4 linked regions of the Caenorhabditis elegans genome follow. The protein of the gene in region 2 interacts with the protein of the main gene of each other region in a pairwise test. Each region holds a gene or a part of one and is shown on either strand. Other genes may lie near its edges.

Region 1 (7,483 bases), 5.4 Mb from region 2:
TCAGACTCATGAGAGCTCTCTTACGTTGTTCCAATAAAGTCAGCAACTGAGTCCATCGGTCAATAATTTCTCGTTCCATTCCTCGAACCTTGTCAGATTCGTGGTACTTTTCAGTACACAACTCATTGCACATTGCTGTCAACATCTTGAAGCGATCTTCACGAGCCAAAATATCAGTGGAAATTGCTTGTTGCTTCTTCAACGTCTTTTCAACCTGTGATGCACTGCGACCGTGTTCCATCTCTTCAAGAACCACTTGAACTGATCTGAGCCAACTGTCTCTCAACTTGGCCTTCTTGTGGAATCGTTGAGCAAGTTGTTCCAACTTTTCCTGTCTTTGAAGCTCGGCAATGATAGCAACTTGTCTCTCATTTTCGGCATAATCCAATTGTGCCCAAGCAGACTCGATATCGTGCATGAACAGTCCTTGTGGTGGTTGATATTGTTTTCTGCTCATCGCTTTTCTTTTAGTCTGGATTGTGAAGAACAGAGCTTCGAGTTCTCCCTTCTCCTTGTACTTTGGTGGTTTCTCACTTGTTCGGAATTGGTTGAATTTGGCATGTTCCTCGCGCATTCCATTAAGAGAGTTTGGGAAACGACGTGATTCCAATGTCTTGATAGTAACACGAATCCAATTGAGAAGCTCAGAAGCAATATGTTCATAATCATCTTCCATGGTTTCCGAAACCATAAGTTTTCCGACAATCTGAAAACAATTTGTTAATTTTTTTCATGAACTTATAAACACTTACATTAGCAATACGTCGAGCTCCTGTCATCTCAGTCTTTTGCTTTGCAAAATGATGATAGTACAAGGAAACATATGTAATGATTGACTTCTCGTCAGGCCTGGTAACGTCAACATCTTCAGCATCAAGAAGACGTGCAATCTCAAGCTTCTTTTCAGCCACATCAAACGCATGATTCAGATTATCCACATGCTCGTTTGGATTGAGACGATTGAAATCGACAAGATCCGGACGGTGCGAATGGATAAGTGCATTGAAAGCCAATCCATTGCGCCAACTTGTAGTGAAGTTTTCGATGCGAACATTTGGATATCCAGCTGTTTTTCTCTGACACCACAACAGCAAGGCATCTTTGGCATGTTTTCGCTCTCCACGCTCCTCCTCATCCTGAAAAATTTAAACTAAAACAAACAATGGCTTCTCTAAACTCACTTCAATGACAATAGTGTCAATCTGGAATCGGAGGATAATCGTCCAGATGAGACCCAAAATAAGTCGCTCGTTTCTGTCAAGAATGTCTTCGGCTCCAATATTTTCCAATTGGATTTTCTTTTTCTTCAAGAAGTCAAGAACTTTGTTCAAATTTTCCACTTTCTGCACACGCATTCGGCCACGATTCGGTTTTCCGAGTTTGTCTCCGGAAATGATTTCAAGAAGTTTCATGAGCATAATACCATCGCCGACATCTTCGAAAAGGTCAACAATCTCCAAACTTGCCTGAAAAATTGTTGTGCTTATATGGTTTTAATTCCTAAACTTATATTAATACCAAGTCACAGTTTTGGAAGTTAAAATTTATATTCTTATTTTTTCAAATATTTATAATTACCCTTGTGATTAACTATGATAAGATTTCAAATACCAATCTTCAAATTATATTTTTTCAACCCCAAACTTTGCAAAATGTTGCCATTTTGCTAAGATTGAAAATTACAACTCTAAAAAAACATTTATAATTTCTAATTACGTTAATATATTCTTTTAGACTATATCAAGTGTATTTTGACAAATTCCGCACTGGTTCTACCCCATATGCAACGAATGAATTCAGTTGATTTCATTGGTTTTCATCCGAACATTCCTTTCGTTCTTGCATGCAAACTGATCTCCAGATAAAGATAAGGGAATTTGCAAGGTCATCTTGGTCCGCATTACTTTCCCGTTGCATTATCCTCTTCTCTTTCCGTAAACAATTCTTCCGACTAATTGAACCTTTCTCCCTCACCTATTCCCTCTAATTCTACCCGTCTCTCTTATTCACTCTCGTGTTAACGATGACCGCCGTTATAGAATCAAATACTCCAATCAGTTGTTATCACAACTTACCCGATTAAGAAAGGAGTTGCACCATTTTGTGAACGTCTTCTTCTGAATGTGCACACGTTCGTCCTGCAGTGTCCGAATGCGTGATCTTTCAAAGTACAGTGTCTCATTATTGAACTCGTCTTGATCTGTTCCATTGGCATCTGCGCGAACTGGTGGTGCACCACTTGTTGGAACACGAACCTGAAAAAATCATTATGAACTTGATGCTAATTGAACTGTTAAATATTTCTAAACGTTCTCAGTTTTTTTTCGGATCTTTAAAACTTTCCAGAATAATATTACGGAACCAAAATTGTTACATATAAGGAAAAACAAATATTTACTAGCTCAGCGTCTTTCCGTTTTGACAGCATAGCCTTCCTAACCGGGAGAGACGCTTGCCGACCTTAATGATAAACAGAAATAACATAGAGTGTATGAGAGCACGTCAGCTGACTACTTTAAGAAAATGAATGATCTCCAAATGTTCATGAGTCATGAACAATTTATAAAACAAAAAAACAGCAACTACCTGTTCTTCAGGTAATGTTCTAACACTTGGGGTTGGAGATGAAGCTGTTGATTTCATAGATATTGAATAAATTAACTTTTTCGGCATGACTTTTAGAGCAAATATAAACAACTACTACAATCTGACAAAAATATTAGATGTGTTGGCTTGACTATTGGCAAAATTGGGATTTATGTTTCAAACGCGTAATCGGATTATCTTAAAATCCAATCATAATAGGTTTAAACATTCATTTTCGATCTACAGGTTGATGCTACTTTAAAAAGCCTGTCTAGTTCATAAATATAAACTTGCCTGCATTTCGTATTTTCTCATTTTGTCTTCAACGTTGTCTTCAGATACACCGTCGTTCACTCCTTCGCCGTAATACTCGTGCTTCTGATGTTGGTGATAGTCGCGGTACTGGTAGGGTTTTACTTCCCCACTCGATAATCCAGTACTGCTCGTCGCCTGATAGTCGTTCTCCGGTAAAGGATCTCTAGGTGTTCTTCGCAAGTGATCGAAGTCAACGTTTTCGCGACTTGGGGCAATCTCCTTGCGATACCCTTCTACCTTGTCTGAAAAATATACATTTTAGTTGATAAATTTGAAAGTTTCTTGAGTAGTTAAGTGACTAATAGATAGAGAAAAAAGAAAGACAAGTTATATATACATTTCTGAAGAGAATAATGATCAAAATGATATGCAACAGAGACGCCCACGTGGCACAAAAAAGACAAAGATTATTAATATTTGGAATCACATCGTTTTTCAGAGAAAAAGTTTGAACCTAACTTACAATTAAAACGGGAAATTGTATCCAGCAACAAAATACTTTCAAGAAAAGTGAAAGATTTTTGAAATAAAGAAATGTTTCGCCGAACATAAACAGTGAAAGAGTGGCACACGTGGTACACGTGGCATTCCTATGTGTGCGACTATTTTCTGTGTGTGTGGGCAAAGTTCACGTAATAATGTTCACGTGAAATATGACTTATTAAGAATTTGTACGTCGGATGTCGTACGACGACGCGACACAAACAAAGTTAGTAATATTTAACTGGAATCAGAAAAGGCTTACAAAAAAGAAAATGGAATAATTGGAAAGCTTTTCGAATGAAATTTTTTCTGAGAAAATGTTGGAACTATTCTGCAATTAAACAAAAAAGAGACGTGTTTAGCAATCGCTATAAATGTCCAGCAAAAAACATTGACAGATTAAATTTCAAGTAAAAAAGCAGAGAAAGTTCGAAACGTCACGAAAATTTTCAAAATTTTAAAAGTAAGGTATATTGTGGAGGTGGGGGCGTTCCCCGTGTTTATTACATCTGATAACAGCGTCTTATCACTGCGAAAAAGAAGAATGAGTCACTGAAATGTGCTCCGCGGGATGGTTGCTGAACTCATTAGTAAAGACGAACCCAGGGGGCAAAAAGTGAGAACAGAAAATGGATTAGACAACGGAGGGAATGCTATTGGAACTTTGTTTATTTTAGTGAAGCAATCTGTCACAGCATAGAGATCCCAATAAGACAGATACATAAATATCTCATACTTGGTAAATTGCAAATCGAAATGACACAGAGGACAATGATTCACTTTAGAATAGCGACAAAAATATGTGGAAAGAGAAAAAGTACTAAATTGTATTGACACTTCAACACTACCACCTATCACTGTGCCCTTTTCCTTCACGGCTCTATGGACGCTCTACTGATGGTATGCAGTGTTGCATATTTACCCTCTCGCCACTTCCATATAGAGAGAACGAAGAAATAAAGAGAGAAAGGAATGCAGCAGACTGTGAGAATGTGCAAGAATGCATATAACACAACAACACCAAAATTAGCAATATTCATACAATTTTTTACTTCGATCTATTATATATTCAAGCGCCAAAATTTAGAAGACTACTTAACACAAATATAAAAATTTAGAAAATTTGTTTGCAGAAACTAATTTGCACCTACTTTGATGTGCCCAAAATCAAATTAATAATTTCAGAATTTTTTTGAAAAACTTATTACAAAGAATTTAAAATGAAAGAGCACATACCATTGAGATTTCGAACTGTTTTGCCTTCTCCAGGCGAGTAGCTTGCCGCGAACGACACATACGACATGATAAAGCTTCACAATATTAGCAAGAATATATTATGTATATAGCAAAGTCGAAAAATAGTAAGTGGTAGTATTTCCTCCGTTATGAACAGTCTTGACAATCCGTGTTCGATTCTTGTCAGATATGGAGAAAAAGGGTCAAGGAAACACGGCGACACTCGGACAGTAGCCGTGGTGGTTCCTCCTCAGTCTTCAGAAGGTAACTTCTTATATAATCTTTATCTCTTCTGTGTTCAATTGCAACGACGTCCGGCGTTCGTTTATCCTTTGCCGAGTCTCTCTATACAATACTATCCGAATATGATGAGAGAGAGAAAGAAGTAACGGAGAAAGTGTCGGAGACGATTAGAAGACATCCATCGATCGGCGCGATGGATAAAAAGTATCGAATATGTGTATTCGCCTGACGGGAAAAGAACGGAAGGAATGTTCAGCGGCGGCAACAATTGAGTGGTGGCCGAAATGGGCGAGAAATCGAGGATTCCGGTGGCGGAAATTGACAAACACAAAAATAGCTGACCGCCACAGTGGGGCACTTGAGTTCAAACATGTCTGTTTCAAGAGCCAGGAAGAACACCGCTTTTTGTTCTTATCCATGAGCAGCCCACTTATTATTATAGTTTTTTATGATTTCTTGTTTATTGTTGACAATATTTGTTGACTTCTAGAAAAAGACATCATACATGTTCTTGTTCAAAGTTTTGGCAAATTGCCAATTTTCGAAAATGTCGGTTTTTGGAAATGTTTAAAACAATGCCTCATTTTTGGACCTATAAAATGCTTAAAACATAATCCAAATATGAGAATATTAAAATGTTTCGGACTACTTCAAAAATTATGAGTGGAGGACATTTAGTTATTTTGGTGTTTGCCTACAAAAAACTTTTTCAAATAAAAGTCTTATTATGATATTCGTATATTATTTTAGGGAGAGTTTCTGATAGTTAATCCCACTGGAGTTACTTTAAACAGGCATGACAGGAATATGCACAGGCAACTTAAGAATACTAAGTATCTCTGAACAAACGAAAAACTTTAATTACTGTAAAACTTCTAGTTATTCAGAAAATTATTTTAGAACAACTTTTCGACAACGCATATGGATCAATTCTTCAAGGAAAAAACACACCCATTTCTAGGAATTCAATCTATTCATTCAACGCGTGTATACGTTTCCATTTGTGTACTTATGATGAGTTGAGTTCGTCTGTCAACACGGATGCGTCAGAGTTGACGCATTTCGTTGAGGTATACTTGACCATAAACGCCGTCATATTGACAATGATATTGGCATGATTTATGGACGGGTAACAGGTCGACAGGTGTTTTGGGAAACAACTTTTGAAAAGAGAATGGAAATGTAGATAAACAGAGCTGTACTCCCGACTCAAACATTTGCCGAAATCTGAAGCTGACAAAATACGACTAAGTTTCTTTCACAATCGTGTAGTTTACAGTAAAAAAAATCTTTAAAAGAGTACTGAATTTTAACCTACAGTCAACAAACTTTTTGTGGCAAAGAGGAACAGAGAACCAAACAATTCCACGACAACCATAAAAACTGCGAGCCAAAAAATCAAGACTTTGAAAGGATGATAAAACAGTGAGAAAACACACATATTTTGGCAGAAGGCAGTGAAATGAAACGGACAAGAAAAACGTAGGTCTCTCCTTTTTCAAAAGAAAAGTTTCTTTCACCACCTAATTCAGTGTATCTAGTTGTCCGATCAGTCGAATGAAAGACGAAATCTCGACAAAACCGACACCGACAGTCGTCCACTACCACCTTACAAGTAGTATTCTTTACTTTTTTGAAAAGTGGAAGTGTGAGAATGTAAATGCGATAAGTTTCGTTTAGTATTAGCGAATAGGAGAAAGAGGCGAAGTGCGCATAACCTTGTGCCGAACACATTGAACAAAAAAGTGCTACAGGGTCGGTATGAATCGTCGCCAGATGTGCTACAAATGTCGGAAACTGAAGGAATGAAGGACCGGAAGAAAAATCGCATAAATTAAAGTAGACACTGTAGGGTTTGTTTCATCGAAAAGGGTTTATGTTGCGCAGCGCAGATTTACATATTTCAGAAATTTAACTGATGAATAAGCGTCGATTATCTCTAAAAACTGTGTCACCATCACTTGGTATATCAGTATATTATAAACAGAACAACTAGTGAAGTATGAATTACTCTAGAAGGAACACTGTCTAGATTATAAAAAGAACACCTATGTTGTCTAAGATACCACGTGCACACATTCCCAAGGACATTGCCCGTTAGATACATAGAATTTCAAATTTACAAGAGGTGGGAAACAAAATTTCAAAAACAAGTTGAGTGATAAAATAAGAATCAATTTTACAGGGGTAGTGAAAAATCCCATGTAAATTTCATTACGAGAAGAAACTAGAAACACTTCGTTCTTCAAATTCTGCATGGAAAGCACAAGTATCGGTTTCTAGATCTAATTAGGTTCATTTTAAAGCTAATATTGCTGTCAAACACGTAAAATATAACTGTGTATTTTAAATCTTATAGATTTAAAACAAATCATTTATAGATCTACAAAAGATATAAGCTTACATGAACAGATTTAAACCGTAACTTACAAAGAATCGGAAGTCGAAGATTGAAAAAAAACCAGAAATTACTATTTATGGTCATCAATTTTATTTTGAAAGTAAAATTATTTATTATAGTAAAACGTGAAACCCATTTAATAAAACCACAAACTATTGAGAAATGTTATTCGAAAAACGCGGCCTTGATAAAAAACGTTCACTTGAGCGTGCCGGTGTT
Region 2 (7,384 bases):
TGTAATCAGAGTAAATGTGCAACAATATCAAAACATGTGGCGGTTGTAAAATCGAGGAAGACTTTTGCCAAAACGCGAAAACATAATGCCATAAAAATAAGAAGTAACAGAAGGATGGCTGAGAACCAGAGACAAAGACAGAAACCCAGCAATGGAAACTAGAGGTTTCCTCGAAAATTTTCTAATTTTTCATGAAATAGTTTTTGCCCTAATGCTCTAACCTAGAACGAAGAGTACAGTGAGTCTAAGCCCCCCTTCGAGTGGACGAATAAGACGAGTATCGGGTGCGTGAAGTGTACCGCTGGTGCTCCTGTCGCTAAGCATGCTCAACGACAACTCGGGTGCCCGATGGTGGTATAACTAACAATCCGCAAACATGAGATGACTCCGTGTCTTTTCTCCTTATTCTTCTTCCGTTACTGTTCTCGTATTCTTCACGCATGTTCGCGCCCCTATATCTTGTTATTGTTCAATGCGGAACGAATTTTGGAACTAAAGATGGAAGGCTTTAAGTTTGAGAAGAATTTCATTATGTTTTGCTTCAAAAAATTTGATATTTAAGGCAAATGAATTTTACAAAATCAGTTAAAAAAACATTGAAAAAGTTTTGAAAAAAACATAAAAGTGCGCCTCGTTCTAAAATTTGAAAATATCCAGATTCTGATATCTTTTTCTGAGAATTTGGAAACAATTTTTCAAAAACAACATTATAAGTTCACTAAAGAAGTTAAGTGATCTGAAAAAAATTAGCATCTCAGTTATCTAAAAGCGAAAAATAAAGAGCAAAATGTGCCAACCCACTTAAAAGGAAACAAATGATCTGCTCAATCTGTGTCTGTCTGAACGGGATTATGTTACTCCCCAAAAGAAAAGGAGGACGTTCGAATAAGAAAACGAGAGTAACACATCCCAAGTAAGCAAACACTGCCTCAATCGGAACACGTCCATTGGGGATTTGCTGTGGACAGCATTTTTGACAAGAAATTTGCAGCATTTTTGGATTCAGAAAGTTGACATGAGTTTTTCGGGTTACCACTAGATATTTGAAAAATTCAGTTGTACTTTTTTGGAGTGATGAAAATAAAAAGTAATTGGTAATCTTCTAATTACAACCTGATCCCCTATTGTGTCAAAATTTATCATTGAAAAGTTTAAAATTTCTAACAATAACTTCAACTCAATTCCCATCTATCTCTTGGTTCTCAACAATCTCCAATTTCATTCGGAACGGCAAAACTGCGCACACTATTGGGGGCCACTTTTCTGTGGTTCGGGGGGCGAGATGTTATTCGATACTATTTGGTATAATAATTTAGGAAAGCTAATTGAATCGAAATGTGTGGCATTTTCTCAGGAGTCAGTGGCAGATAAAATGAAGGATCTTCATCAAAATGTTTAGTAGTAGAGGTTGCACAATCAACCAACTACATTTGATTAATGGGTGACCTTCCAAACAAACGGCAATTGCCACAAAAATTGGGTGAGTATATTGAATGAGTGTGGGAGGATAAGAAGCACAGAGAGATGAGTTGCAGTGGTCATTTGTTATCTCATTGAAAAAGAGCAAACGATTTGAGGATACTTTCTTTTTAAAAATTTTAATCATCGGATATTGAGAAGTACAACTTTATACCTTCAAAAATTGGTTTTTTTTTGTTGTTTACTCTATGATTAACCGCTTAAATTTAGATGTAGTTCATGGAGTGAACAAAACTTACTAGTTAGAGCAAGAATAAGTTAGCTATGTTTTTGTGAATGGGAAGGGTTTATTTTAATTTATCATTCCTAGATCAACAAGTCTTGAAACTTCAACCAGAAATTAATTCTGGTAAACTTTATGTAAAAACTGTATTTGGAAGATTCAAAAATTCCCTAAAGCACAGGCAAAAGGCTTGTCAAGTGAATGTTTTCAGTTATCCATCACCACATCTGCCGTAATATTTTCGTACCAGGCTTGTGTTCAATTGACAGGCTCGTAACGTTTCTCTTTTTGATAATTGATGACCCCTTAAACTATTGCTATCTCTTGCTCAATCAAATGGACAACTGCCTCAAGTTTGCAAAACTTGATCTTGATATCAGAGGGCTAAGCAAAAAACTTTGTTCAAAGAAAAACTAGAAGAAAATCGAGAAAAACAGGAGGTTCTTTTGAGGCCAGCTACACCTAATTACTCTCCCAGTTTCACTTGATCCATGGCAACCAAACGACACAAGCAATAAAACAAATAAGACTTACTTTTGAGGTGAGGTTGTGCAACGAGTCGAGGATTAAATTGTAGAGCGAGGAGCAGTTCTCCAAAAAGATATCCACTTCCTCAGCCGACGATTCGATGACCTGGAAATTAAATTATTGATCATTAAAATGGGCAAAGTAACAGCTGGAAAGATATCTAGGAGATATTTTTAACGATGGTTGTACACGCGCAATTCGATCTTGTACAGCTGCGTAGTGCAATTTAATAAAACAGTTTATAATTTGATACAAATAAAAAACCAAAAAAGGTGAAACAAGATTTTCAAAAAAATGTAATTTGTTATTTTCATTATTTAAAATTGTCAAAATTATTCTGAAAAATTAAAATATGCGCCCATTTTTCTAAATGACCCTCACAAACGATTTAACGACAATCAATGGCCACCCGCTCTACCAAAAAGAAGTGCTTTGCTTTCAGTGTGACTGTAAAATTGGTAATTCCGAGTCAATTTACGATTTCTCGACCTTCCGGGCGGCCCACTTTGCAATAAAACGAAGAGTAAACCTGACGTTAATCGATTCAATTGCCAAAATTGAGAGGATCAAGGAACATGGCACAGGAATCGTTGTGTAGGAACAACCAAGTTTGGAGAAATGCACTCGAACTTGCAAGTTGCTCTTCACTGCCGAGATGCGCACCTCGAGAAACACTTATGGTATTGGGCACTCGGAATCATTCTCTTCTTACTAACAGCTTTTGCCAAACAAAGTTACTAGTAGTCGCGCTCTGGGAATGTGTGTGAATGGCGTGAGGATTCAATGGTCCGCATATTGTTTTTGGAAACAAAAAGAGAAATATGGGGTAAGTCAACAAAAAAAGGTGTCCATGAATGTGTTGACTTTGCGGTACCTTAACAAGGAAATCTGGGAAATACCTATACTTACTAATAATACAATGAAATATTTTACAAGGAACCTAAGGTGTCAGTCAATTATTTCTCATGCGAATCTTTTAAATATTAAAAAGTATCGCATTTTAAAGGTTTTACACATCATTTAGCGGACCAATTTTGATAACTTTTATGTTTTTCCTGAAAAATGGCTCTCAAAATTATGTGCAAAATCTCTGAAGATCAATATAATTATGTTGTCTGAACTTGATTCTGCGCTTTTTTGCTAATAAATGTACTTAGCACATAGAAATAATTAATATTTTTTAATGATAAATTTTCGCACACTGAAATATGGGAATGTCTTAAAATCTCTTGAAATTTAAACTCCCGTCATCAATAGTTTTACACTTTCTCCTTCAAACTTCTTTTCAAGATAACCACAGTTTTCAATTCAATTTACTTCGTCGTCCCCCACCAGATCAAAACATTCGATAAGAAAAACTAAACGATGCGGAATTTGAATGTGCGACACTAACTCTTTCCACCTCCAGTTATAAATCTTTGAAGCACAGCGAAAAAAAACTTCAGCCGTTCGTCTTTAGTCAATCGAAAGAAAAAAAAAGATAGCGTGGAATTCGGGATTTTTTGCGCCAAAATTGAAAACTCGGCCTCTCGGGCTTTTTGACAGCTTTTTGCAAACAATTGATGGCGCAAGGGTAAATGCTCAAGCATTTTTCAAAAAGGCACTTTCAATAATCAAATAGATTTGAAAAATAAAATTATTTTCGCTCGTTTTGGTTTAGAAAAAAACTACATTCTACTTTGGTTTGAATAAAGAAATCGAACTTTTAATTTTTTTTCTCCTACTTTTAACGAAATTTTACTTTTCAAATGAATTCAATATGCAAGAAAATGCGTTGAAAATTTTAAAGTATTTTTTTTTCGTAAAATTTAAAGCTCTGCCTCACCTTCAAAAGATGGTCCTCCGATGATATATCATTGGGCATCTCGACCTCCGAGAATGAGTCCATTACGTCCATTCGTAACCTGTTTTCGGGTTACTTTCGGTGTCCAGGAATAAAAATAAAAAAATCAGAGAAGTTTGTATCCAGACGTGGGATACTGTACTGGTAGGGGTGGACGATCAATTACGCATCTGCGCAATATGATCACGGATGAGAAACGGATCTGGAAAAATTTAGTTTAGACGGAAAAATACTTAATCAAAACGAAATGAGGTGAAAATTTAAAAATAGAAAAAGTATATACAATTTTTTGTGTGTAGAACAAAATAGGAAAAATTTCGTGAAAAACAAAGAAAAAGAGATTAGTTGTTTCATTGGAGCTGAAAATAAATTTCAAGAAGAGATTTCTGTTGAGATCAAAGTCAAGAAACGGAAATTCAAGTCATATTGAGGATAGAAAATTTGCAAAATATATACTCAATTCAAAACTAGCCTAGTTTACCAAAAATCTATGAAAATTGTGTCGAGCAGTAAAACATCCTTTTAAAGATAATAAAAAATGTTTTTAATAAAAATGTAGAAACACACGAAAAACTTCATAAATGTTTTACTTATGTATAGTACGGTTTCCATAAAATTTGTTAGGCCAGTTTTTGAAAATCCAAATAAAAATCCATGGATTTCATGCCCTGGACAACAAGCCATCGCCCGCAAAAATGTTCGCAAATTAAAAGATAAACATAGAAAAGTGTGAGATGCTCGAAATCTGCCCCCCAATCCGAAGTCTCCGCCTTAATAAACAATAATACTGATGAGAGAGGAGAATCTAGAGAGTTGGGAAGAGAAGCTTGTGATGATGATGGATTATCATGTCATTCACACAGTTTTCGTTTCTTTTCGACACCTGATAAAATAATAAAAGATGATAATTATGATGGAGATATTGTTTTATGAATTTTTATGAAGATTTATGAAGATATGAAAATATGAAGAGATAGGTGTGAAAGTGATAAAAAAGAGATTGGACCAGGGAAATCAGCTGGAAGATTTTATTTTGTGTGAAAAAGTCTCGTGATTTCCAATAAAAAATATTAAGCAAAATTTATGGAAATTATCACAACGAGGTCCAAGAAATTTCCAAATTACTACAAAATAGGTTGTAGCTTTCAAAAAAAATGTAACTTGATTTAGAAAGTTCTGGAAAATATCAATTAACAAAACGTTGGAAAAAATATTTTTGAACTTGTTGAAAATTGAATTAAATTCCTTTTTTTTAAATTCAAGTTTCCACCCATTCATTTTTCAATTAAAATTGAATCTATGGAAAACTGGAAAGGAACAAATCGAAATTTTGAAAATGTTCACGAATAGATGTCCAACAGCACATGGCCCTGACACTTTTCGAATTTATTGGTTTTGTTGCAACAGGAAGTTCCCCCAATAAATGTGATAGAAACACAGTGAAACGATGGGATAATGGACCCAAGTTAATGGAGTCGGAAACGGCAGACAGCCCCGGCTCATTTATCACCAATGTGCGAAACATTGTGATACTAAAGTAGAAAAGGAACACTTTGTAGTGCCCGAATGTTTTACGAGTTTTAGAAATGATTTGAAGTACAATTTAGAAATTTCATACTTGAAATATTCTGAAGAACATTGCAAAATTTCAAAAAGAAAACATTTGTTTCTAGACTAACATCAAAATTACAACGCATTACCAAAACTGCAGAATAAACTTCGAACGTCGTGTCTAATTTGTTTCACAATTAAAACTATTTAGGCCCTTTGTCTCAAATGTTTGAGGGAATCTACGGCAAGTACTTGCATTACTATCAATTTGGTAGAATGTTGGCTCTGCATTGGTTGATAATAAAAAAGAAGAGACAACCGTTTTTATTTGATAATGCAACAAAATGTCGCCCAAACTGCGCTTCTCGTTTGCCCCCAGTGACTCATAGAGGGGTAACACTTTCAAAAACAGTTAGAAAACTTCAGCTCCTTCTCAAAATGCGTAAAGCCATTAAAAAGTTTTCAAAAGAAAATTATGCCTGAGCTGATCAGTTAATTGAAGAATTTTGAGTGTTCAAATGCCAGCAGAGAATTTCCAAAAACACTTTAAAATTTCAATATTAATTGTAAGCACATTAATAGAAATTAATTTAAATTCCAATATTTCAGAATACTTCCTTTTCTCCGAAAACCTTTCAAACAATGTCATCTTCAAAATGAACATGATGCTAATCAGTTCATTGATAATTTACTTGATACTCCTATGCCAATGGAGTCATAAAGGTTGAAAAACTCAGTCGACACGTAAACATTTACTACCACCTGATACTATCTCGATTGCTACTGTGAAAATTGGCAGGAATGCAAGAAAACAACGGGCGCCTGTAACTAAAGGCGGTCAGCACCAAGACAAAAAACGACAAAGAAATGATAATTTGTGTATGTGTGGAAGAAACGCAGACAGTTGAAGAAGTCAAAGACATGATTGAAAAAGTCAAACAGTTTGTGTTGACGACGTGGGAACCATCAGGAGACACACATTCGATTATCGAGCTGTTTTTAGTTTTCTTTTTGAAGAATGATAGTCTAGGGCAAGCGTGTGGGAGTAGAAGGGTTGAGAGGAAGACAGTGCAACATTGCTGGCTGGGTGCCAATTTTTTCAAATGTGAGAAATTGATCATGTGAATATATTTATAGAGACTGACATAGATAGACAGATGATTGAGAAGCAGAGTGATTGTGGGAACAAGATGGATCGTATTGTAATTTTGAAAGGAACACGAGGTTCTATAGAAAATTAGTAAGTAGTGTTTATTTTATTTTAATTGCATAAAAATAATTTTCTGATAGCATCACAAATGTCAAAAACATGTTTAGTTTGGCTCTAGCTAATTATCTAAGTTGAACTCAATAAATGTTAAATTGTGTCAAAAGTTGGGACTAGTTGGGCAAACGATGGGCAAGTTTTGGGAAGACTTTGGAAACATTTGGTCAAGTTTGACCCATTTTTTGTCAAACTCTTGCCAAGTTCAAAAAAATTTTGGACAAAACTTCGGCCAAAGTTGGGTTACACTTCATCATAGCCTAAACCAACTCTTCCCCAAGTTTTACCAAATTTTGTTCTAATAGTAAGCTAATATTTTTGGGCCAAGCTTGGCCAAGAAACTAGAGCCAAATGCCTATTATAACTGTGCTGTTATAAAAAAACTACCACTTTATTTATTGTCAACAAGTGCTCGAAATATTTGCAGCTCTAAAAAGCGGACCAAAAATGGAGTTGAGAGAAAATAACTTCAAGAGCCTCTAGGTTAGCAGAATCT
Region 3 (10,463 bases), on a different chromosome or scaffold from region 2:
GGTATTCTTAGAACAATTTTTTTTGAAAGTAGTCAAGCGGGTTATTATCGTGAACTTTGAAAATACATCTTATTTATTTTTTACACCATTTTGAAGCTTTCAAAATATGGAACCAATTCAAAAATGCTTCAGAGCGAATTTCACAATAAAAAGAAATTACCTTCTTCATGAAAAATGACATTTTGGATTTTTGGCATAATTTCCAAAAATTATCTTATTCTACTGAAATTACCAAATATCACAGCTCTCACGGGCGCTTCTCTAACTTTAAAGTCTATTCGGATGTGATTCCATCTGGAATAATTTCAGACTTGGAGCAATAATGTTTGAAATAAAATATTTTTTAATTTGTTTTTAACATTTTTTATTGTTGTGAAACGGGGGTGTTTTGTGGCCCGAATGATAAAAACTGATTGGATAAAACAACAAAAATTATCATCTAGGCGAAACTTTGAATATTAAAATTGAAGAGAAGTAGGAAAGTAATGGGATATGAGAAGAAAACAGCGCATACCACAATTTCTACCGTATCCTGGTTGCGATTGCATCATCTCATCTGCAGGTAGCGATCTCGTCAAGACTTTGATTTTATTGTTTTACTTTGAAATTTCAGGCTTAATTTGTATCAAAATTTTTATTGACGACGATTTCTTATGCAACCAGGGACTCGGGATGGTTTGGATGGAACATTGAATAAATTTGTATTAAAAATTGATGGGAAAACATGAATTGTGGGTGGGAAATGATGTCGCTCGATTGACCTAATTGTTCGAAATATTGATTGGGGGACAGTCAGTCAGAAGCACGAGGGGCAGTGGGACAGAACAAAAAGATAGTCGAGAAGATTTAGTGATGGAAGAACGATAGAAAAAGCGGATGGGCGCATTTGTTGGGGAGAGAAATAATTGAAAATTTAAAAAGAAAGAGAAGAAGAACATGAAAGAAATAGAGAAGAAAAATAAAACAATTATACACATCTTATTAGCAATTTATTTGATGATTTGATGTATGGCGACGCTTTTTGGGATGTTTAATAATCGTCTTCCGTGACGAAAATCTGCAAGAAAAAACAAACGAAAAATGTGAAAAACAAGTGACGTAAAATAATTAAGGTGTTGGGAACAAATTTTTTTAAAGATAAAATGATAAGTAGTAGTTGCTCAGGATTTCTGTTTTCCGACACAGACAAAAACAATTCTTGAAATTTTCTTATTGAAATTAGAACCATTTTTGATTAAAGTATTTGTCTATTCTAACTATGAGCGTTTAACATAAAATCTAAAGTATTGACAAATCAAAGTATTTTCAACAAAAAAAGAAAATTAAAATACCTTGGAGGATGACTTTCCGGTGACAACAGATGAACGATGCTTGGCACGGATGAGGTGAAGGCTGGACTCGGCTTGATCGGCACGGCCCTCAGCATCCTCGAGCTCGTGTTGGTATCTGCGGACTCTCTGGAGGTTTTGCATTGTTACGGACTCGGACTCAGCAAGTTGTCTCTTCTGGATGTTGAGCTTCTCGGTAAGACGATCAGCGGTGTCTTGAGCCATAACGAAGTTCTTGTGCTCTTCATCAACGAGTTGTTGAACCTCCTTGATGCGGCGATCCTTCTTTCTCAAGGCATTCTGGGTCTCCTTGTGTCTTCTGGTTTCCTCATCAAGAGCGGTCTCAAGATCACGGATTCTGGTCTCCAACTTGGCGATGACTCTCTTTCCTCCGAGAAGAGCGGCAGCCTCAGCTTCTTGAATTTGAACTTGGAGTTGCTTGACTTGCTCCTCAAGAGACTTTCTCAAGGCATCGATTTTCATCGAGTGTTCTTGTTCCTCATGAAGTTGTTCAACGGCACGGGCAGCATCAGCAAGAGCACGGTTGGCGCGCTCATCAGCGGCGTGGAGTTCCTTGGTGACCTCATCCAAATCAGCTTGAGCGGTGGAGAGCTCAGTCTCGAGTTTGTTCTTGATGGAGGTGAGGTTGTTGTTGATGGAGATAAGGTCGGAGATACGTCCATTGGCTTCCTCGAGGTCAACCTCGGCTTGCTTACGGGCGCGGATAGCGTTGTCGAGAGCGGTCTTGCATTCCTCGAGTTCAGCAGAGAGAGCGGCGACCTAAACATATATAAAAATGAATTAAGAGACCACAAAAATGATAACTCACCTTGCGTTGAGCGAGGGCATATTGGTCCAAAACTTGTTGCAACTGACGTTGAGTATCCTCCAATGAGGCTTGGAGAATCTTGAGTTGCTCCGATTGCTTTTTGATGGTCTTCTGGGCTTCGATGTTAGCTCTGTAATTTATGAATTTAAGGGTTGAATGTTGAAAAAATTAGTATTTACCTGTTAAGGTTATCAACAGTCATCTCGAGCTCAGCGATCTCAGCCTGGTACTTCTTCTTCAGTCTAGAGATCTCGGACTTCATGCGGGCCTCGGCATCAGCCAAAGCGGCAATAAGTCTGTCGATTTCGAATTGAAGGTTCTTGCGAAGAGCCTCCATCTCTTCTTCCTTCTCTTGGAGACGACGTTCCATTTCGATGCGAAGAGCCTGGAGCTCAGCAAGGGCACGTTGAGCGCGGTTTTCGGCGTCACGGCGTTGAGCATCAGCCTCCTTGAGGGCAGTCTGGAGCTCACGGATTTCTCCGGCAAGACGGGCGTTCTCGAGGTCGAGCTCGTGGAGCTTGCGGTTGGCGTCGGCAAGAGCCTCCTTGGCTTCGTGAAGTTCGTCGTGGAGCTTCTTGTTCTCGCGAGCAAGAGCCTCCTTCTGTTCGACAGCCTTCTCGTACAAATGCTTCATCTTCTGGAGCTCAGCATTGACGGCACGGAGTTCGCGTTGAGCAGCTTCGAGTTCAACAGTGATCTCATCGATACGGACCTTGAGTTCTCCAACTTGTCTCTCGAGTTGTTCTCTGGCACGCTCCAAGAGAGCAATGGTGTTCTGGGCCTTCTCAAGATCAACGATAAGAACCTCGACCTCAGATTGAAGACGAGACTTGGCCTTCTCGAGTTGAGAAATCTTCTGGAGCATGATCTCGATTTGCTCTTCATACTCAGCTTGCTTCTGGAGCATCTTCTTGCGGAGATCCTCAACTTCTTCGTGGTGAAGGGCGACCTCAGCATCGAACTTGCTCTTCCACTGGGTGATCTCAGTGTTGGCAAGGTTGAGCTTGTGCTCAGCATCGGAACGGGCAATCGACTCCTCATCGAGAGCGGTGCGGACCGAGTCGAGCTCGAGCTGAACCTGGTGGAGTTGAGATTGAAGTTGGGAGCGCTCCTGAAATTTCAACGTTCTTTGATCTTCGCACGTTTATGCTTTTTTAATGTCCAGAAATGCGTCAGAGGAAGAAACCCGATATTTCCGCCTCTGAATTTGGCACTTTGGACTAGTAGACTTACGCGCTCGGCATCCTCAAGACGACGTCTGGCCTCCTCGAGCTGTTGAGCGAGGGTGTACTTGACGTGTTGAAGGTTATCGAGTTGAACCTTCTGGTCGTGAACCTCCTGAAAAACATTAACGATCCCTGATCTGCTAACAGAACACACTGAACGAGACAAAAAAACGATGAGGCTCACAGAGCATCCTCCTTTCTAATATCTCGAGTACTCTATTTGCACACACACTCTGCGGAAATAGTAGCGATAAAATAGAGAATTTAGTAAAGAAACCCCCTGTTAAAAGGGGTTTCTTTTTTTCTTTTTACCGCATTTTTTTGCTAAAAAAAAGTAGAAAGATGAGCAGAGTGATCGGTGGCACGTGATAAAGATGATAAAACTAGAGATTATACACATGATACTTCAAAAAACAAACCTTGAGAAGATCATTGTTCTCAGCTTGAAGGCGTTGACGTTGTTGGGCGAGGTCATTGACGTGCTTGTTCAAGTCCTCGACCTTGTTGGCAAGTTCGTTGGCTTGGGCTTCGAAGCGCTCAGCGGCCTTCTCAGCGGTGTGTTTGTCCTTCTGGAGCTGGTCGATAGTGGCGGTCAACTCGATGACTTCGTGTTGGACGCGTTGGCGTTCGCGGTCGATCCTGAATGATGATGATATTGCGTGGGATGGGAGGATATTTGGAATTTAACAAAAAGTCAAGCAGCGGCGAACAAGTAATTCTTGATGTGTCAACAATATGTTTGGCTATGAATGATGTCAGAAAGCAGCCGGTTTGGACAGGTGAAACTATTGATAGTGGGTGGAAAAGTATAAACTAATTTTGGATTTAAAAACATTACGTCAAGAGTTGCACACAATTATTTTCATGGGAAAGTTGAACTCGAAGATTTTTGAACGCAAGAAGGGAACAACTAAAACTTATTTTACAACTGAATAGATCATCTATGTACATTGTTTAAAAGATTAACATAGATTCTAGAAATGTGTTTTAAATTACGGAAGATTTTCCTTGATTTCATTGAAAGTTATTTGAGCAAAAAAAAGAGACATCATAAAATGAATCCATCGTAATTTAAATGGGAAAAATACAGTATTTTTCCTATTAATATACAGGATTTCTCACGCATTTTTGTTGTTGAAATGTGTTCATAAATGAAAAATAACCGAGATATGAGCTGTAAAACTAGAGGATAGGAGGTGCAAGACTAGGCTAGCAACCCCTTGTTATGAAACAAATAATGTTTGATCCTTACTACATTTTTAAATATTCTATAATATGTTCATGCATTCGTCATTCAAGTTCTCAAGCTGTCCCCTTCCCGTTCATCTCAACTTCTCATCCCAACTTAATCTCATTATTTTTTACCACCACCACTGTTTCACGGGAACGCAGATTGCTCGCCAAGCATCAAGATCAATGAGAGAAATGTGAGAGATATTGAGAAGATCAGTAAGACGCAGACATTCTTGTATCTCTCTCATCTCTTCCTGGAAGGCGAAACAAACACACACACACGAGAAACGTTTGTTATTTTACACACTTTGAGCTGATGCTTCTTCATCTTCTTATACTTCTTCTTCAGAGCTTCTGCCGAGCCGCCAACTCCTCCGCTGCCATTTCAACGCGGGAAGATAGAAGAAGAAGAAGAAGAAAATGAAGGCACAAGTACTAATACGAAAAAAAACTTAGAAAATAAAGATAATAACTTACTTGGCATTTTTCTTTTGGAGTTGCTCGATCTGATCTTGGTAGTCGAGGCAGGAATCCTAAAATTTCACGAATTCTTTAAGCTATAGCATAAAGATTACTGTACCTGGTGCTTTTTGCGGAGAACATTCATGGCATCTTCGGATTCAAGTTGAGACTCCTCGAGGAGCTTGCGAAGCTTTGAGAGTTCTCCCTCACGTTTGCGGTTCGATTCGATCTGTAATTATAATGTTTAAAGGTATAAGATGTTTCTTTAAATTGAAATTCATAAAAACTGGAAACTCACTTGGCTGTCGGTGGTTCCCTCGGCATCCTCGAGTCTGTCAGTCAAAGCAATAACTTGAACGGAGAGATCGGCACGCTCACGTTCAACCTGAAAATGGCAATCATGGTATCAGAGATAAAAGGTAAAAACTCACTCTGTTGCGGAGTTCGCGCTCTGATTCCAAATCCTCTTGGAGAAGACGGATCTTGTCCTGAAAAGTGAAACTGTATTAATTTGTAAAATCTTTGAAGAATTAATTGTTTCAAGAACTGATTCAGATAAAAAAAGTATGGATTCCGATTCTGATTGAACTTCTTGATGAACCTTATTACACGGACCTATAAATTTAGTGCCGAGTGGGGAATATTTTTAAAGTACTGTGAAGATAAACATCCTGACGTCACAAATTTAAATGTCCCGGAATTTCTTGAGATCAAACGACAAGAATACACTCGTAGCATACAATTCGATATTACCATTTAGTTTTTTTTTTGAATTGATATCTAAGCTTAACAAATAATGCATTAGGTTTCTTCGAAATTTTACAACACAGTGTGGGAGATTATAAGAGAAACGTGAAAATAGCTTATAGATATGAGAGACGTAGAGTGCATTTTTTGGAAATAGACCAGCGAATGATTTGGTAATTGTTTTTATTTTAATTGACAAAATGTTTTTGCAGGCAATTGGCAATAATCGCAAATTCAGTAGCTAGAACCATGAGAAAATATGGGGTCAAAAAATAATTGTTTTTTCAAAGAAAAAAAGCGTAATTTTTGTTTTTTATAAGTGCTATATTTGAAAATCTGAGAATTAGGGTTCTACTTTTTCTTGGAAATATATGTAAGCAAGCAGTAAGTTAAACAAAGGTTGCAAATCTTAGTTACACAAAGAAACTAGTTGCCGAGATGAATGATGAACAGATTTTTCAAAATGAAGATTTAGAATAAGGAATCTAAAGGTTTAATTATAGAGAAAACTAGGAAGTTTAAAAATTTTTCTGAAAATAGTGTTTTGGCTCGGAATATTGTTTTATTCCATACATTTTGATGCAGAAAAATAATATTTACAAAACTGAAAACGCCGTTATTTGTCAATCATTCAATTTAGGGACAAAACAAACATTTTTCTTGAGACTGAGGAGTACTGTAAAACTACAATTTGAGATTTTTCAAGTTTTTCAATTCTTCGTTGCTATATTAGATGCCTTTTTTACTAAAATTTAAATTACAGATATAATTCAAAATATCAGTCAATGAAACATCGATTCGATGAAAAATGGAACACGGGTTTTGGGGTTTTGGCAGTGAAATGTTCAGAAATGGTAGAAAACATTCAAAAATTTACCTCGAGTCTGGTGAGTGATCCAAGATCGGCGACGGACATGCTGCCAAATGGAGCACCGAACGCTGCTTGCGACGGGCTCTTAAGAAGAGCAGCGGATGGCGAACGATACAATGACATGATCAAATGGAGTATTCAAATGGATGGTGCCCCTGTGTGTGCTGCTGGCTGGCTGGCTGCTTCGAGACTGACTGATTGTGCGTTGGGGCTCTGCCGTCGGGAAGACACATACACACATATCTCATCCCGCGCCGTTGCGTCGTCGATCGTCTCTCTGTCTCCAAGTATCTCTCATCATCAACTTCTACGAAGGTAGTGTGCCCGGCAGGGAGCGAGAGAGGAGCCTCAGTGTAATCCTTCTTGCCTAGCACTGAGCCACCCTCCCACTCTACGCTGCGTATCTGATAAATGCCATTGTGTTTTTGCCAACGAGTTGGCGGGATACGATCTCGAGAAGAGCGCGCCGAGAGCCGAAGCGCAGACGATGCATCAGGCACCCGCGGGCCAGGAGGTTTTAAACATTCGAATGATATTGGTTTGGTTCGGGTTGAGGCGACACGGAAGAAATTCAGCAAAAAGGGATGAGCACAGACAAAAAACATCGGGATCCACCAAAAACTTCAACTCGTGTTTGTGTGTGCCTTTTGAATGTCCGAAAGGGCAGGTGTGAACTTTGACGAACGGATAGTAAAACGAAGACCACTTAAGAAAAAAGAAACACAAAACCAGAAAAAGCGAGACTGAACTGCCATTAATCGAATGCCATTCCACCTATCAGTAATCAACTCTTACTTTATTCAGGCTCTTCAAGCCTGGGTTGTCTCCAATTTTCATTAAAGTTTCTCAGAACTATACTGTTACCTTTTAGATGATCCATTTTCATAAATTTATAAAAGTCTTCTATTAATGGTAATACGTCTATACAGTCGAAATATTGAAGAATTCCAAAACTCGGTTGTCAACTATTTGAAATTCCTTAATTACAGATAGTTATGCTCTCTTCTTGTCCATATCTATTAATACACTTCCTTAATTGATAGCCTTGTCATATATGATCTGATCAATGTTTTAAAAAGTTCTTGGATCTCATATTCTGAAGAAATAAGTGCGAAGTGTGTAATAATTGAGTGTATCCCGGAGAATGTGTGTGTGTGTGCGTGTGTGAGGGGGTGGGGGAGCGTATCACAACAAATTGTGATGAAATCAAGTTTTTATTACTTCTATAATAACTTGGTATTCAATTTCCAATATATCGGCTCTTCCGAATGTTTTTTCATTAATGAAAAATAGGCTTGATAAACTGATTTTCAAACTGAAATTGTGTCATGACGTCAAAAAATCAACGTTTTCACTCCAAATCCCGTTACTTCTTGTGACTCATGTCATTTTTAAATAAGTGTTGTGAAATTTCAAAATCTTTTCTAAATTTTCAGAATTTTACTTCCATTACGACTGATCAACCAGACAACAAAATACTCTTGTTGAGCAGTGTCAGCTGACAAATCGTGATGACCGAGATAATTAGTTGGTTGCAGAAGCAGGGGATGGTGAAATGTACTGACATTCGTTTGAACTTAATTTCAGATTTGATTATAAAGAAAAAATCTTGAACATTGTAAGTTGATGTTTATTGATTGCAAAAACTAGGATGGTTTTACCCCGCTAACAACTTTCTGAGGAAATATCGATTGTCGCACATTTCCATTCCAAAACGTGACAAAAACTTATAAAATGTAATAGAAAACGGTAGACCATTTATATTTAACTTTTACAAAGAGTGGACATACCTTTGAATAGTTTTTGTTAGACTTTAGTAAGGCCAGATTTTGGTTAAACCTTGCATACGATTTCCACAAGATTTCTAGCAGTGCTGCCGCTTGTTAAAATTATTTTTAACATAACTTCGAGAATATATGCTAATAATGCTGTAAGTTTTCTCTCAAGATAGAAACTTGGAACTACTGGATTTATCATTTTGTAGACAACTATCCAAAACAAAGGTAGATCAAAGCATTTTAATTTGTTGATATCTTCCAGATTTATGCAGTGAAACATGTTAAAGTGAAATATACTTGTAGACCGTATTTCATTTTATCTTTTTTGTTTTTAGCACTATTCCTTTTATTAGGAGAAGATCTAAAAACAACATTTTTTAAAGATATTTGCATATTTTTAAGTTATGCAATTTTGATTAATAGCTATATATTTGTCACCTTTCCATCTTTTGTCCATCCATTTTTTTCGTGATCATTACAAAGAATCTCTTCAATAGAATTCCCTCCAGAAGCCGCCCATTCTCTCTCATCGGTCTCCACTGCCATCTCAATATCTTTTTTTGCCACCGTACACTCTCTGAACTCTTCAGTGACAAGCCCACATCTCACACTCTTCTTCTACTACACATGCTTCTCTATCACATTTCTTTTTGTGCCTTCGTTGAAATGGCAGAAGGGTCCGGGAGCACAGAGGATCTTTCTCTCTGTGCTACTCGAGGAGCAAGAATGAAGAAGCATTTTTCGGCCCCGCATTATTGTTTTAAAGTATTGGCAACTGGGAGGAAAAGAGATATAGATACTCAGCAAAGGAGGACGATAATGAAAAATTTCAGCCGAAACATGAGATCAATCTTCAAAAGAATATTAGAGGGAACATGTCAAAATGTTCAGATTTTAGAAAAAAAAAATTTGTTTGAAAAAAATTTTAAAAATTTCGGAATTGAGTATTTGAAGATAGTTTCGAAATCATTTGAAAGTTACTGTTCTGATATTATACAAATATCTAAAATAATTCGAAAGCACCGAGAGGAGCTTATGTGGTTTTGCTATGATTTTTTGTTTCATGTTATCAAATGTTTACAGCTGAAAATAATAAAATCAATACTGTTTAGCTTGAAGAAATTTTATTGCAATAAAATTCATCACATTCCAGAAAAATTTAAGTTGATTAGAATCGAGCACGACGACGGACGACAGCGCTTCCACTGTATGTTCCTGTGGCTCCATCTCCAGCTCCAGCTCCTGCATCCGGTGCACCACCGGCAGCTCCAGAGCTTGCATCCGCACCTGTAGCAGCACCTGCTGGAGCTTCTTGGGCCAATCCTGCTGTTCTTGGTGGGCATGGACAATAGGCGGCGTCGACTCCTGGTGCTCCATCTGTTCCTGGCCCTCCTGGCGCTCCTGGAGCTCCTGCTTCTCCGTCTTTTCCTGGTGGGCCCGGTGGCCCCGGTGGTCCTGGTGGGGATTCTGGAGCAGCAGCGTCTTCTCCAGCTGGTCCAGCTGGTCCTGGAGGTCCAGCCGGTCCAGGAGATCCCGGTTCGTTGGTACTTGTAGTTCCTGCGGCTCCTGGTTGTCCATTTGGTCCTGGTGCTCCTGGCTGCCCATCTGGCCCCGGTGGTCCGGCTGGTCCTGCTGGTCCAGCTTCTCCTGGTCCAGCAGCATCTCCATCAGCTCCAGGAGCTCCTGATGGTCCTTCTGGTCCAGCATTTCCATCTGGTCCCGGTGGCCCTGGTGGTCCAGCAGGACATTTGATACAGTTACCTTCGACTCCAAGGAAACTATCAGCAACTCCTGCAGCTCCATTCTCTCCATCAGTTCCAGCGGTTCCAGGCTCTCCAGGCGCTCCATCTTCTCCTGGTGCTCCTGGTGGTCCTGCTGGACAACCAGTTGATTGAGCAGCACAGTTACATTCTCTTTCTGTACCTCCGCCGGTTGCATATCCAGCAGCTCTCTTTGCAAGAATATATCTTCCAAATGATGGAGACGTTG
Region 4 (7,558 bases), 6.4 Mb from region 2:
GCACTTTGGCTTAATGCCAATACTCCACTGGTTTCGGTTTGCTACAGAAATATTTGAGAAAGAAAGAAATTGAGAGAAAGTTTTACGGGTTTTGCCATATGGAAACGGATGTTTTTCTAACGCGGAAGAAAAATGGAAACTGAGAAGAATCGGGTAAACACAATGGGAGGGATGCTCCAGAGGAGAGGCTATCTCATTTGTCGAAATTTTTGAATTTTTCGGAATAAAAATATATTACGGGAACACAAAATTCTGAGAATGCGTATTGCGCCACATATTTGACGCGCAAAATATCTCGTAGCGAAAACTACATTAATTTTTTAAATGAGGTTTTCCTTCATTTCTTCATATTATTTTATTTGTTTTTTTTGCTTCATTTTAATATTCCATCTATAAATGTGTTTATTATTTTAATTCATTTCGATATCAAGGCCCGTAAATCGGCAAAAGCACTACAGTAGCCATTTAAAGAATTACTGTAGTTTTCGCTACGAGATATTTTGCGCGTCAAATATGTTGCGCGATCCGCAATTTTGTGTTTCCGGATCTTGACACGACAATTTTTTGTTAATAATTTTAATCCATTTTCTTAAACGAAAAACTGATCATGAAAGATCCGCAGCAACGAAAAGTTCAAAGCTACAGTACTCCTATTTAAAGGTGCACACCCTCTTTCCACAAAGAATTGTCGTTTCGAGACCGGGTTAACACTTTTCGTTTCAGATCATCGAAAAATCAAAATAAAATGTTCGGGAAAATATCAAACAATTTCAAAATTTCATCACATTTATAAAGAAATTTGTAAAAAAAAATGCATCTACACAGAAACAAGAAACAAGCTTTTTCTGGTTTCTCCACAACCTATTCGTATTCTCATTTACTTTGGCACTTTCGATATGACACTTGTCGTCGAATCTTGCCCCCCCCCCGAAACATGGGCCCAATTACTGTACTAATTATTCCGCATGTCTCATTACCTACCCGTCTGTATCTCCTTTTTTGTTTCAAGTGTGGCGTAAAGGAGAAGCTTGTGGTGGTGATCCGACTCATCTATTTTCAAGGTTTTGGGTTTGATTGGGAAAAGGTAGTAGTACAGAAAAGTGGGGAAGGATTATGATAATTTGAGGGAGCGATCAGTGGAAAAGTACACTGATAATCTCCGATGAGGGAGGGGAGACACTACTATTCTTATTACCTATGCGCGGAAAATGATTTACTCGTATATTGAGTGGGGGGTCTCATTTCACTCGGTAACCTAATCCTGAAAAAATAAATATCAAGAATAACACCTGAAAATTGCTAGCCAGAAGCAAGTACCTTGCCAATTGAAATGGCATTACGACCCCCGTTTTCACCCTCATTACCAGAGACGAGACAGCCAATGATCCAGTTGTTTGACATTGCTAACGGAAGAGAAGCGCCAATTACCTTTCATTGGCAGATTTAGGAAACAATTTCTCAATGTCTGTCAAATGGAAGTCGAACACACAAAATTTTTTTAAAATCACATTGTTTTTCTTTCAACCAAAAAAAGGAAGGATTTGAAATAACAATTTATGTAACAATTACGGGAAACTTATTGCTTCTTGCGGAAGGAGCATCCCTCGGTGAGCTTGGCCTTTCCTCGGGTTGGCTGGCAGAGGACGGTGTTGCATCCAACGCAGACGACGACGGTGGTGGCGTGCGAGAAGACGGTCGAAATCTGAAAAAAAAACCGAATTAGTATGGGAAAATTGCATGGTAGAAAAAAAGTGAATTTGAGCATATCTGACGTGAGAAATATATTTATAGACCGAAATTAAGGTCATAATCATCATGAAATGCAAATCCTAAATAATGATTGAAAGGAAAATTTTCGTAAACGAAAATGGCTACTTCTCGGAGCATTAGATGTTGAGATTTAACAAGTTGAATACAAGAATCGTTCAATCTCAGAAAACGGGCGGTTTGTCGCACAAAAACTTTTGAAACAACAAATTTTCATGAACAGCTATTAAGCACATAGGCTCAATCTTACCTTGAAGCATCCCGAGCACTTAACGTCCATGAAGTAGGAGTTTGGGTGTTGAACAAGACGCTTAAGCTTGTGGCATCTGATCTCCCTTTGTGGCTCTGGGTGAAGAAGGTCAACGGCCAAAGGCATTTTTATTCCACTTGTTGAGCGGGGCTGGCTGAAAATATGTGAATTGAGAAAATAAATAGTATATTTGAAAGAAGGGAAGACGAGATAAACGGAAAAACACGATTGCGGAACATTACGAAAAATTTCGAAATTTATTATTTTTTTAATAACATTTGTTTACCGGCCGGACAAGACAAACCAACTTCGAAACGAGGAATAAATCAAATTTCATATTTAAAATGAATCAAAACCCATGATTAAACGAAATGACAAAAATCGATAACGTGTATAGAACGAACTCAAGCTGAACCGAGAACCGAGAAATTCAGGGTTTTTAGTATTTTATTATTTATTTTAGTTTTATTTAAGCTGATAATTTCGAAACGTTATGATTTGAATAAAAATCGTGGAATATTGATATTTTCCCAAAAATTCCACTTGGTAGAATCACAAATCTAGGCAAATTGGCCGTTTTCTATCACAAATTACGAGCGAAAACTACAAATAATGCAATTTTTATATACTTTTCTAACTAAAAACCTGAAAAAAATATCGAAAAAATCGGGAAAACAGTTGAAAAACGGGAAAAAAAGGGTTAAAATTTTAGGCCCAGCAATTTCATCGCCTTCCGCAAACCGTGCGGTGGGGCGGAGAATGTAATGGTGCGGCGCGGTTTTCGGAGTGTCGTAGCGCGCTGTGTTTATCGTAAATCGGCGCGAACTCTTTTTTGAAGCAATTTTTTTTGGTTTTTATTGAAAGTTAGTCTCAAAACTCGTATTATTTTAAAATTTTTTTATTAAACTAAAATTTAGAAATGGAAGAACCATCAGAATTGGGCGCAAGCAAGGAAAAACCGATTGAACTCAATGAAGACGACGAGTCTTCCGACGGAGAGGTTTGTGGCAAAGCTTAAAATTCACGGAAACCAGCATTTTAATTCAATTTTATTGCAGAATTCCGTAATAATATTGGACAGCGACACAGAGCCTGAAGATGGCGCCGGCGGTGAAGAGGATGAGGACAATGGTGAGGATTCAGAAGAAGAAGATGAAGAAGACTCCGACGAGGAGGAATCTGAAGATGATTCCGATAGTTCTGTGGATACGGAATCTGTGAATTCAGTCTGGTCTAATGTTGATGAAGAAAACGGCGAGGAAATTACAACAGAAGCCGCTGAAGCAAAAATTATAAAGAAATTCGAAAAAGCCATTTTCTCTATAGCCGACAACGACTCTGAAACAGGCCGACGGATTCTGGAAAAGCTTCTAAACGACGCAATAATTGCCACATACAACCAGGAGAATCCAGACTTTGAGCTGCTCGACGAGCCACCGAGATTGGCGAAAATGCTTCAAGTTTTCATAGCGAGCCACCGGAATCTGGCGAAATTATGTGAAAAAGAAGTGGAAAATGCGGATGAAAAGGAGAAGGAGCAACTGAAAAGTGAAGAAATTCAACATTTATGTCAAGTTCTGGCTTATGAACCGAATAGTTCGGATATTTGGCTCGACGTCGCACTTAAATCAATAGAATTCGGGGATTTAAACTTTTCAAAATATGCTTTCAAACGGTGTGAGACCCTAAAAGAGTCCCTGGAATCCCACGCAACTCTGCTATATTTAACGTGTGATTACAACGAAAGTCTGATGATTATGAAACAATTCCAAGAGCAAAATGATGTGTTAAATGATAAATTAAAGTACCTGAAGCATAAAATCCGATCCACAAATCAATATTATAAACTATCGTGTGATCGAATTTTCGAGGAAGATGAAGTTTATGCGGACGTCCAAAGTGTTGAAAAACGGAAAATTCAGGATTTCGACGAGCGAATTGAGGCGTTGCGGAGCCGAGTTGTGGGGAAAATTGAGCAGCGAGACGTAGATTTTCGTGATGAAGAGGAGAAGTGCTCTGTGATTCCGATTCGAATTGAGGCCGATCAGGAGTAGAATTTTTAGCCTTAAAAATACTGAAAAAGGAAGAAAAATATTCTTTTTAATAAGCGAAAAATTATCAGAAAAAGCTATTTTTTACCTGAAAAAATTGCTCTGAGCTTGTTTTTGTTGAATTTTCTAGCCAAAACTTGATCTGAGCAGATTTGTAAAAAAAATACACAAAATCCCACAATTTTTGCAGAAAATTTTTTAAAAAAGATATTTAACAAAAAAAGACGGTTTGAACAATATTTTCGCAATGATCGTCGGAAAAATGCGAAAATTTTGTAACTGTGGAGAGAAATTGAGGAAAATTATACGAATCTGTGCAGTTTTAGCCGATTTTTGTTTTTAAAAAAATTTAACGTCAAAAAAAAAATTCAACTAAATTTTTAGGTTTTTATACAAAAAAAATGTTGGAAATTCTGGAAATTTGGGTATTTTCGGCACGAAATTAGAGTAAAATTCATTTAAAACAATTTCAAACAAATAAAAAGGGTTAAAACGGGATAATTTGCACAAATCTGACCAGATTTAGCTGATTTTTTTGAGAAGAATTCTGGAAAAACGTTGTTTTTTTAATCTCCACTTTTGCTTAATTTCACCAAAAATCCTAAATTTTGCCAATAAAAGAAACTTGAATTTTCTGAATTTTCTCTCCAAAACGCGAATTTAAAAGATAAAATTTGGAAGTTTATTGAATTTCACTTTTTAAAAAATGTTTTTTACGGGAAAATTTTCATTTAGAAAAAAGATCAAAAAATACTGGAAAACCACTGAAAAACTATTATAATAATTTAATTTTTCAAGGAAGTTGTTGCCAATTTCTCGAAAAATAGTAATTTTCAAGTAATTTGAAGAATTTTCGCGCATTCTAATTTTCAACAAGTAATTATCTTATGCCGGAAAATAAATAAAAAAAATGATTTAAAAATAATTACGGTCTATTTTCTGTCATAAAATTCAATTTTAAAAATTCAATATGCTCCTTTTTTGGCAAAAAAAAATTAACTCAGATAGGCTTAAAATAATTTTTAAAAAATTTCCAGTCTCCAAACAGTTTGCACAATTTTCTGCGACCTCTTCGACCGTATCCACGCCTATTCTCACTGTCGGCATCAGCTCATCGAGTTCACCGAATGGGAATCGCGGCGAGACCATCTAGACGTTCTCGACACAGTTGAGCATCTCGTAGACGTCGTGGAATGTGTAGAGGACATTTCACAGAAAGTAGAAGAGCTGGAGAACCTGAAACGTGGAGCAAAAGGACGTCGGAAGAAGCAGCAGCAGAAAGATGAGAAAAAAGAGTATTTGGCGAGCTGGAGGAAGAGATTATTTGTGGAAAAGAACTCTGAGGAGCCTCCAATAGTGATCACTATTGATTCAGAAGCTTGTACAACTGCTGATGAGGATGATGAAGAGAACACATCACAGATTGAAGAGATTCTCGGAATGCCCGAAAATGAGTTGGCTCAAGAGTTTGAGCTGGTTTTCAGCGAGCTCAAGTCGATTAGGAGTGGCGGAAAACGAAGGGAACGGTAAAAATCTGAAAAAAAAACATTGATTTTTATTGTGATATAGTTTTTTAAAAAACTTGAAAAATTAATATACAATTTAATTTAAGAAAAAATAAAGAATTGCAAATATTTTTTAATTCTCTGAAAATTTTTTTAAAAAATTACCTTTTATTCTGTTTTATTTCAGAGAAAATTTTTCAAAAAAAAAAATAAATTTTGGAAAAAAACGAAAAAATAATCTGCTGAAATTCTGAAAAATTCCAATATTTTTTTTCTATCAAAATCGAAAAAAAACCCTTCTTTGTTTCAAAGCAAATCAATCCAATTTTTAAAAAGAAAATTTGAGAAAAAGCCCGAAATTTTAAAGATTTTGTGGAGAAAAGCTTTTTTTAATTGAGTGTGAATAAAATCAATCATCGAAATTTTGCGAATTTTATTTTAAAAATATTGATATTTTGGCTGAGTTCTCCCAAAATTGCTAAAAAAAAAAGAGGAATTTTTAGTGAAATTTTTTTTTTCTGAAAATCTACATTTCCATCTTAATTTCTAAAATTTCAGAACTCCGCCACCATCAAAACCTCACGAATTCATCGATTGCGACATGATTCTTCAACTTTTGGAAACAATATTCTCTGGTGAATCCCGTTCGATTCTAGAGATCCTGGAACACACTCTATTCCTAATCTCCGATCATACCCCGGCTCACGGAGCACTTCCAGAAAATATGAGAGAAGTAACGAGAGAGATGTACGCCAGGCTTGCACTTTTCGATGAGATTTCTGATAAAAAATTTGAGAAATTGAATGTGATGCTCGTGGAGCTCGACTCGAAAAAGGCGATGCAAGTGGCAGTGATTAAGTATATTTCGCCGTTTTCTGGCGGAAATTCTGTGGAAAATGGAGAAGAAACACGCGATGGGATCCTAAGATTTATGTGGAAATACGCTCAAACTGGGCTCAAGGATGAGATCAAGTACGGGCAAAAATCTGTAGAGATTATGAAAAAAAAAAAGCAAAATTTTTTTCCCAGTAAAACGCAGAAATTTCAGCATTTTTTATCGTTTTCCGAGAAAAAATATTTGGAAATATTTATTAAATTTTTCCTTTGAAAATTGACAAAAGATCGAAAATGTTTCATTTTTTTCAAAGAAAAGTGGAAAAATGGAAAGTTTTCTCGAAAATAACAGAAAACGGAAACCTTTAATTTTTAAATAAGTTTTTCTGAAAATCAAAAAAAAAAGTTCAAAAAATCGAAAATGTTTATTTTTTCTACATTTCTGCCGAAAAACGTTTAAAAATAATGTAGACATCGAAATTTTTTTAAAATTTTTCTCTGAAAAACGCTAAAACTCGAAAAAAAAAACGCTAAGAACGCTAAAAATTCGAAATTTTCGTTTTTACCGCCGAAAAATTTAAAAAAAGTCTAATTTTTTCGTTTTTAAAATTTTTTTCTCTCGATTGCTTCCGTTTGAATGAAAAAAACACACAAGAAAAATTAAAAAAAAAAAAAACTTTTTCGCTTTTTTTAAAAATTTTCTATCAAAAACTCTGAAATATATTCTTAAATGAAGAAATTAGTTGTTCTTTTAATTTTTATGAAAATCGCCGAAAAAATTGAATTTTAAAAAATTTATCTGAAAAATGCTGTGAAAAATTGAAAAAATCGGCAAAAAATAAGTTTTTAAGAAAATTATTTCCGATTTTCCTTCTTTTTTTAAAAGTAAATGTTTAAATTTCTCAATTTTTCAGACTAGAATATCTGGAAACCCTGCTCTCTCTGATGCACCATGACGAGTCAATTGCCACGTCATATGGCTCATTTGCCACGTGGGACGTCGAGCTAAGCATTGACGACCTACAAAAGAAAAAGAGAATCGATAGTGTGAAGCAATTGTGGAAATCCAACAATTATGCAAATCTCGTCGATATTATACAAAATGATATAGATTTCGCTGTGATAAGCGTCGAGGAGGCAATCGAAATGTG

What was found.
Region 1: the proteins of unc-83 (region 2) and sma-1 interact in a two-hybrid assay, tested with the Caenorhabditis elegans proteins (one large-scale study listed by BioGRID).
Region 3: the proteins of unc-83 (region 2) and unc-15 interact in a two-hybrid assay, tested with the Caenorhabditis elegans proteins (one large-scale study listed by BioGRID).
Region 4: the proteins of unc-83 (region 2) and picd-1 interact in a two-hybrid assay, tested with the Caenorhabditis elegans proteins (one large-scale study listed by BioGRID).

What each region holds. Positions count from the first base shown.
Region 1 is NC_003283.11:11,896,768-11,904,250, reverse strand, and holds the start of sma-1 (Spectrin beta chain), read right to left. Parts: upstream 4,803-7,483; 5' UTR 4,688-4,802; coding exon 4,621-4,687; intron 4,344-4,620; exon of another isoform or gene 4,172-4,343; intron 3,144-4,171; coding exon 2,881-3,143; intron 2,256-2,880; coding exon 2,076-2,255; intron 1,467-2,075; coding exon 1,182-1,466; intron 1,137-1,181; coding exon 753-1,136; intron 707-752; coding exon 1-706.
Region 2 is NC_003283.11:6,461,956-6,469,339, reverse strand, and holds the start of unc-83 (Nuclear migration protein unc-83), read right to left. Parts: upstream 4,276-7,384; 5' UTR 4,128-4,275; coding exon 4,056-4,127; intron 3,907-4,055; exon of another isoform or gene 3,707-3,906; intron 2,954-3,706; exon of another isoform or gene 2,773-2,953; intron 2,336-2,772; coding exon 2,237-2,335; intron 1,376-2,236; exon of another isoform or gene 1,167-1,375; intron 1,031-1,166; exon of another isoform or gene 891-1,030; intron 748-890; exon of another isoform or gene 608-747; intron 397-607; exon of another isoform or gene 248-396; intron 1-247. UniProt on the Caenorhabditis elegans protein: Cargo-specific adapter that is involved in nuclear migration during development and thereafter.
Region 3 is NC_003279.8:7,376,265-7,386,727, forward strand, and holds unc-15 (Paramyosin), read right to left. Parts: upstream 6,934-10,463; 5' UTR 6,820-6,933; coding exon 6,703-6,819; intron 5,567-6,702; coding exon 5,510-5,566; intron 5,464-5,509; coding exon 5,377-5,463; intron 5,308-5,376; coding exon 5,197-5,307; intron 5,150-5,196; coding exon 5,094-5,149; intron 4,023-5,093; coding exon 3,803-4,022; intron 3,496-3,802; coding exon 3,391-3,495; intron 3,269-3,390; coding exon 2,337-3,268; intron 2,288-2,336; coding exon 2,158-2,287; intron 2,109-2,157; coding exon 1,332-2,108; intron 1,058-1,331; coding exon 1,031-1,057; 3' UTR 623-1,030; intron 558-622; 3' UTR 340-557; downstream 1-339. Other genes in the region: col-35 (Nematode cuticle collagen N-terminal domain-containing protein), read right to left, coding at 9,643-10,463. UniProt on the Caenorhabditis elegans protein: Structural component of the muscle thick filaments which is involved in assembly and organization of sarcomere myofilaments. Involved in ovulation.
Region 4 is NC_003283.11:101,894-109,451, forward strand, and holds the start of picd-1 (Pry-1 Interacting and CABIN1 Domain containing), read left to right. Parts: upstream 1-2,932; 5' UTR 2,933-2,936; coding exon 2,937-3,017; intron 3,018-3,075; coding exon 3,076-4,067; intron 4,068-5,105; coding exon 5,106-5,594; intron 5,595-6,131; coding exon 6,132-6,545; intron 6,546-7,321; coding exon 7,322-7,558. Other genes in the region: rps-27 (Small ribosomal subunit protein eS27), read right to left, coding at 1,577-1,702, 2,018-2,143.